Linked DNA regions of Arabidopsis thaliana. The protein of the gene in region 2 interacts with the protein of the main gene of each other region in a pairwise test. Each region holds a gene or a part of one and is shown on either strand. Other genes may lie near its edges.

Region 1 (4,233 bases), on a different chromosome or scaffold from region 2:
GAACGTAGACAAGATCCGTTCCAAGATTCGTCTTTTTTTTTCAATTTGATTCCTGGGTTATCTGAAAGATCTTCTCTTTGCTTCGATTTCTATCTCCGCTGCTTGTGAAATCAACCTTTATGGTATGTAATCTCGAACTCAGCTAAAACACACTTCACTCTCGGAAACATGGAGACGGAAACGAATCAGGTTTTACGGAAACCGGAGCTAAAATCATACAGTCACAAACAATTTCACTCCTCAAATGCGTTAGAGATCTTAAGAGAAACAGTTCGAATTCTCCGGTACAATCTTGGTGCTTTAATGTTAACTACTGCTGTTTTGATCTGTCCTGTCTCTGCTTTGCTCTTACCAAACTTTTTAGTTGATCAATCATTAGTGAATAAACTCACAGTGAAGCTTCTTTTAGTGGCGAAATCAAGTGGTCTTCCTTTGCAGCCTTTTGTCAAACATTCTTGTCAGAAATTCGCTGAAACTGCTGTTTCGTCTGCAATGTGTTTCCCTGTGTTTATCACTGTGTCTCTGTTGTCTAAAGCAGCTGTGGTTTACTCAGTGGATTGTTCTTACTCGAGGGAAGTAGTTGATATAAGCAAGTTCTTGGTTATATTGCAGAAGATATGGAGGAGAGTTGTGTTCACTTACGTTTGGATTTGCATTCTGATTGTTGGTTGCTTCACTTTCTTTTGCGTTCTTCTTGTAGCAATCTGCAGTTCCTTCTCTGTTCTCGGCTTCTCTCCAGATTTCAATGTTTATGGAGCTATGCTAGTTGGTTTAGCCTTCTCTGTAGTTTTCGCTAACGCGATTATAATCTGCAACACTGCGATTGTGATCTCGGTTTTGGAAGATGTTTCAGGGTTAGGAGCATTGATGAGAGCTAGTGATTTGATCAAAGGGCAGATTCAGGTTGGTTTGTTGATGTTCCTTGGATCAACTTTAGGATTGGCGTTTGTGGAAGGATTGTTTGATCACAGAGTGAAGAAAGTTAGTTATGGAGATGGCTCTTCGAGGTTATGGGAAGGACCTCTTTTGGTGTTGATGTATTCCTTTGTGACACTTATAGATTCGATGATGAGTGCAGTGTTCTATTTTAGCTGCCGAGTTTATTATAGTATGGAAGCTTCTAGAGGTGAAACTCAGCCAATCATGGAAACGGTTACGGTTGTGGATGCTGAGTAATGGTGCGTTGTGCGGATCAAACTCGGTGAATGGACATGGAAACGTATTAGCTGAAGAAGAAGTTGTATATCATCAAATGGGGTTTTATTGAGCACTTTTTGTTTCACTTTGAAACTTGATGCATCTTTAAGGTTTTTGTTATATATGGTTTCTCTGTTTACATTGTTTGAAGATTATATAGCATCCCAAGTTCGTTCATAGTTCTGCTCTTGTTTCTTTTTAGCCAGTTTGATTGAGTCTTGAAAATCTTGGGCGTAAAATAGTAAAATTAAAAAGTAGGTGGGCCTTTATGCAAGGTAATTATATTACAAAGGACTTGAAATTAAAACCAAAAGTAAGAACAAACCGGTTCGCATGGTTTAAATAATCTGTGCTCGAGCGGTCAAATTGTAAAACCACCAAATAATTCTTCGTCTCCCTCACCGTCGCGGCGTCGCCACTCGCCGTCACAACCACCGTCGTTCAACATCACTGTCACCAAAAGAATCACCGTCGTTCGGTCGTGACGTGTCTGGACCTATTTCATCTCTTTGCTCGTGACTCGTGAGTCAAATACTCTTGGACCTTTGCTGTTATCTGTACCTCTAATTTTGTGATTTTCAGATTCCTTCTCGTTTATCGAGTTGGATTCTCTGTATTTGAATGTATTTTTGATAGGGTTTCGTTTGGAAACCAATTTGATTCTCATATTTAAAGTGTAGTTACGTGGTTTGTGTTCTCTCTTGGGGATGTTCACCACCTGTTCGATGAAATGCTTCTACGTATTAGTTTGATGCAATTTCTGTATAGTTTCGACGCTCTCCGAGCTTGTATTTAGATATTGATGGTTAGGTGACTCTAGATTCTGAAACGAACATTTCAAGGCTCTAGAAACTTATTCTGGACTAAGTTTATCAAATAAACAAGGGGATGGTTAGAGCCTTAAGCTTGATATGTTTATGTTCGCATTGCAGTAATGGAGGAGGGACGTCAAAAAGACTTGCAATTGTTGGAGGAGATTATCGACAAAGGTTTGAAACAGAAGCTTGTACATGCAACTGCTTCACGGTATTTATATTTACTTCCTTTTCAGATCAAAATTAAAATTGTGAGTATGATATTAAAGTGTATGTAGGATTAGTTTAGTTTGTTTTCTTTGCATGCTATTCACTTTTTGTTTGAGGTTTCGATTCATTGTGGTCTCTGCATTTGTTGGTTTTGCAGGGACAAGATCTTTGAAGAACAAAAAACACTGTATCCTTTTGTATAGGGAAGACTCTAGCTTCTCGTGATGTGCATCATCTTGTTAAGCTGATCCTAAGTGTTTTGTTAGTTTCTCCCATGTCTTAACCCTATCAAAGATGACGGGTTCATTTACCAGTCAGTTTTTGACTTAGTTTTGTGTTTCTAAATCGAGAGGAACTCTTCTTGGTGTAGTTATTGACAATACTTTGCTGTTCTAGTGAAATCTAATTCGGTTGAAATATTCTTGTTTCCTTGACGGTTACTCCCACTCCAGCTCTGACTTGCGGAAAAACCTAGAAACTCTGGAGAAGAATGGTGTAAATAGTCTCAAAACAAGGGTCAACCTTGGTTCAGAAGTTTACATGCAAGCTGAAGTGTACGTTACTTATAGCTTTGGTTCTTTCGTTTAATTTTAGTCAAGTCATTTAGCTATGAAAGGTCATGCATTGTCTGCATACAATGAAATACACTGTCTCCATACACAGCTTAATGCAATTAAGAAGTGTGCTTTTACTGTGTTCTGTATGTTAGAAGCTAGTTATGTATTATTGAGCAGAAAACGTTTAATAAATGGGGATTAAAATAGGAGATGCTTTCTACCAGGTTTGCTTCTGATTTCGTTTCACTTGACTTGGGTGTTTGTTTGAGTTCAGGCCAGATACTCGGCACATATTCATGGATGTAGGCCTCGGCTTTTATGTGGAGTTCACACGGCAAGAAGCTCTTGACTATATAGCACAAAGGGAGGAAAGAACTCAAAAGTAAGAGAAATCTTTGCTTTTCTAGTTTTCTTGCTCCATGTACAAGGAAAATATGGTTGTATCATTGTATATGATGAATGAGTTCTCCGGTGGAATGCAGTATAGTGACTGAATGTTGATGCAATATAAATGTGGTTTTTTTTGTTTTTAACAGACAACTAGAAGAGTATACTGGTGTTATTACGCAGATCAAAGGGCGCATCAAACTGGTAAGTTCAAGTTCTTATCTTGCTTTGTGATAGTAGTCAATCATTTGTCTTATGAGGTTGAATTGGACTAGAAAATCACTATTGCGTAGGAACCCTGCATCAGACGGATATATGAAAGTGTCATCGGATAAGTATTAATGTTAAATTACCATTGCAGGCTCATTACCAGATTCAGCAAATACTCAATCTTCCTGAAGAGAATCCGTCATCCCGGCAACGTGCGTTTTAGTACACTACCTAGTGGAAAGTTGAGGATTTTCTCTTGCAGTCTTATCTTCTCGATTTGTTCTGCTTACTGTTTTGAGTTTTTAAAGCAGAGAATTAACTTAGTTTGTTCAATACTAACTCTTTCTCCGGAATGGACCAAACTGTTGGTGTTAGATAAACATATCGATTAAGCAATCAAAACTTTATAGAATGACTATTGTTGTGGGGGTGAATAGTGAATCGCACTCTGTTAAATCTGCCATTTCTATTTTAAATATTAATAATCACATGTTAGAACTTAGAAGATCATTAACAGTTTAACACAGCTGATGAAGAATGAAATAAAAGTATGAACGAAACAGATACAAGATAATGATATTCCACGTCAGCAAAGTGTCCAAATATCTTCCGCTTCCCTGTCTTCGTCGGTCCCTTTTCGGTTTTCACGGTAAGGCTCGGAGGAAAACCTAATTCGTCCGGAGAATCTCCACCTCACTCTCGCCAAACGCATCTCTGTTGTAGGTAAGTCACGGATCTTCATTCTACGCTAATTGTTATTGTTATCGTTATTCTTGATCTGGGCGTTTTTGTGGAATTTGCATCTAAAATTAGAAATTTGGATACCAAAATCCACTCCAATTGAATAAGGTTTCTGA
Region 2 (3,152 bases):
TTGTTTCGAATATTAAATTCTTTAAAATCTTCTGAAGATGTATGAAAAGATTCAAGTTATTGGATTGCTTGTTGTTTGTTGATGATTGAAAGAATGGGTTTATGAGTGTATATATAGAAAGATCAACTACTAATGAGTTGAAACCTCTCTGAAAAAATCATTGAAACTTGTGGTCTTGAAGTGTTGGACAGACTAGAACAGAGAACATGGTTCTGTCTCTACCATTTGGAAAAGATGCATTAATGCAGTTTGTCTTGATGAGATAATTAATTGATTGTGGGACATTAAACTAAAAACAAAATCCATATGCAATTCACAAGGGACTGTTTTCTCAATGTTTTTAGATAAAAGACCAGCAAGTTTCTCTTCTCCATGTTCTGTGATGATCCTATTTTTGATTCTCTGTGGTCTAAATGGATTTAATAACAACTTAAAAGTGGGGACCTGAAGTTTCTCAACAACAGAACAACATGTCTCCATCACTCTTTAAGCTGTTCCTTTTTTATGATATACACAAATAGAACCACACACGAAAATCAAGTAAAAGAATAAAGAAAACATCATCAAAATATATACCCCTTTAGTTTTCTTGCAACAGTATTACAGTAATGAGATCCTCCATGCCTTGCTTGTCTTTGAAGCAACTTAAGTACCTAAGTGTAAACATCGGTGAGAAAATCACTATGATGTTAGCCTTAAGGTCAAGATCAAGAATCTTCATTATTTTAAGCAAATCCTCTTGGTGATAAGGAATGTATTTACACATTATATCTATGACAGCAAGATGAAGTATTTACATTGAATAATCTATCTCTCACTAACTACTGTTAGTTATTCCTTCTTGCGGAACATCTTCATTGAAGCTGAGAAGTCAGATCGATGAAGGTATCTTCAGGACAATGGATTTTTAAGCTAGCCACCCATTGGATGATCGAATCCAAGCTCTTCCTTGGAATTACGGTGAAGAGCTTGAAATGAAGGCTGGTTTAAATATAAGACTGGCACCAAATATCTTTTCTTTTAGACCTGGTCTTCGCCAACGTACACCGCAAGAAACCCCCTTGATGCTGAAACTGGCCTTTTGCTTGTAGCCTCTATAGAAAATCTGATAATTTTCTTTGCACCCAAAAGACCTCTGAACAAAAACATTTCTTGTGTTTGGAAAATCTAAATTTGAAGCTTTAGAGAAAAACCTAGATGCTCAGATTCAAGCTTCGGATTGAATAGTTAGTTCTATCTTTAGATGTATAAATAGATTGATGGACTTCAAACCAACATGGAACATACACAAACAGAGTTACGTTTCACATGATTCTGTTTTCTCCATATTTTTATAATAAATGCAGAGAAGAAAGGAGATATTCAATCCTTTACTTGTAACTGTCATGTGTGGTCCTCCTATTTGAGGATATCAAAAAAGAACAACTTAACCCTAGACAAAGACTTGTTGTTCTATTGTTGAGCTACTTCAGGTCCCAATTTTAAGTTCTTATTAAATTGCACCACAGACATGAGGTAATATGATCATCACAGAACATGAAGGAAAGAAACTTGCTGGGCCTTCTTATTGACAATAGCATGTCTTATCTTAAAAACATTGAGGAAACAGTCCCTTGTGCATATGGAGTTAGTTTTTCGTTTATTGGCCCAAACTCAATTAATTATGTCATCAAGACAAATTTCATTAATGCTTCTTTTCTAGATTGTAAAGACAGAACCATGTGAGCTCTGTTCTAGTCTGTCCCACGCTTCAAGACCACAAGTTTCAATGATTTTTTCAAAGAGGTTTTAACTCCTTCATTGATCTTTCTATATATACACACATAAACACATTCGTTCTATCATCAACCAACAACAAGCAATATATCCAATAACTTGAATCTTTTCATCCATCTTAATAAGCTTCAAAAACCTTTTCGTACAAAAATAACAGATATGGCTTTGGTGAGAAGTCTATTGGGTGCAAAGAAGATTCTAAGCCGCTCCACCGCATCGGCGGCACCAAAAGGGTTTCTTGCGGTGTACGTAGGAGAGAGCCAGAAGAAGAGATATTTGGTGCCGCTCTCATACTTGAGCCAACCTTCATTTCAAGCTCTTCTCAGTAAATCCGAGGAAGAGTTTGGATTTGATCATCCAATGGGTGGCTTAACGATCCCTTGTCCTGAAGATACCTTCATCAATGTGACTTCTCGGCTCCAATGATCATGATGATCCGACATTTGGTTCTTCTGAGTTAGAGATAGACTTGATCCTTGTAAATAGATGATTTTTTTCTTTCCTTTTTCTCTTTCTTCTTGAAAGAGTTGTTCTCAAAGTTTTGAAAGTGGATGCCATTTTTTATTCAATAGACACGAGATCATGGTCCATGTTAATACATTTTGGATCGATTACCGGAAAAATAAAGGACAACGCCGACTGAATAACTATTTTAATTATACTTTCTAAAATCAAGTGAGAGCATTATTAATCTTCTTACCCACTGTCTTAATTTAGAAAAATTCTTTCTAATTCACTTTTCACACTATCTCTTTTCAATTTTACCCTTTTCTATTTACTATTTTCATTTATACCCTCTTTAAATTTTAATGACCATTTTACCCCTATTTGTAAATTGATTTAGGTTAATAAAATGAAGTATTAATATTTTTCGCCTAAAACATTCTAAAATAAAATTTCCCGCCAAAAAATTTCGGGAAAAAACTTCCCGCCAAAAATTTCGTGAAAAAAATTTCCCGCCAAATTTTTTTTTCAAAAACATTTTTCCCGCCAAAAATTTCGGAAAAAAAATCCCGCTAAAAATTTTCTCTGAAAAAAATTTCCCGCCAAATTTTTTTTCGAAAATATTTTCCCGTAAAATTTTTGTTTTTGGCAGGAAATAGATTTACAAGGGATTTTAAAAGGGTTTTAAAAGATTTACAAGAAATTTTAAAAGGGTTTAAAAGATTTACAAGAGATTTTAAAAGGGTTTAAAAGATTTACAAGAGATTTTAAAAAGGTTTTAAAAGATTTACAAGAGATTTTAAAGGGCTTTAAAAGACTTACAAGAGTTTTTAAAAGATTTTTAAAGGGTTCGAAAGTGTTTTAAAAGATTTACAAGGGATTTTTAAAGAGTTTTAAAAGATGTACAAGAGTTTTTATAATATTTTAAAAGA

Evidence for each region.
Region 1: the proteins of AT5G18030 (region 2) and AT1G26660 interact in a two-hybrid assay, tested with the Arabidopsis thaliana proteins (one large-scale study listed by BioGRID).

Annotation. Positions count from the first base shown.
Region 1 is NC_003070.9:9,210,167-9,214,399, forward strand, and holds AT1G26660 (Prefoldin chaperone subunit family protein), read left to right. Parts: upstream 1-1,597; 5' UTR 1,598-1,719; intron 1,720-2,129; 5' UTR 2,130-2,131; coding exon 2,132-2,223; intron 2,224-2,338; coding exon 2,339-2,443; intron 2,444-2,674; coding exon 2,675-2,776; intron 2,777-3,053; coding exon 3,054-3,161; intron 3,162-3,315; coding exon 3,316-3,370; intron 3,371-3,527; coding exon 3,528-3,599; 3' UTR 3,600-3,709; downstream 3,710-4,233. Other genes in the region: AT1G26650 (Son of sevenless protein), read left to right, coding at 169-1,176.
Region 2 is NC_003076.8:5,966,592-5,969,743, forward strand, and holds AT5G18030 (SAUR-like auxin-responsive protein family), read left to right. Parts: upstream 1-1,760; 5' UTR 1,761-1,935; coding exon 1,936-2,202; 3' UTR 2,203-2,599; downstream 2,600-3,152. UniProt on the Arabidopsis thaliana protein: Functions as a positive effector of cell expansion through modulation of auxin transport.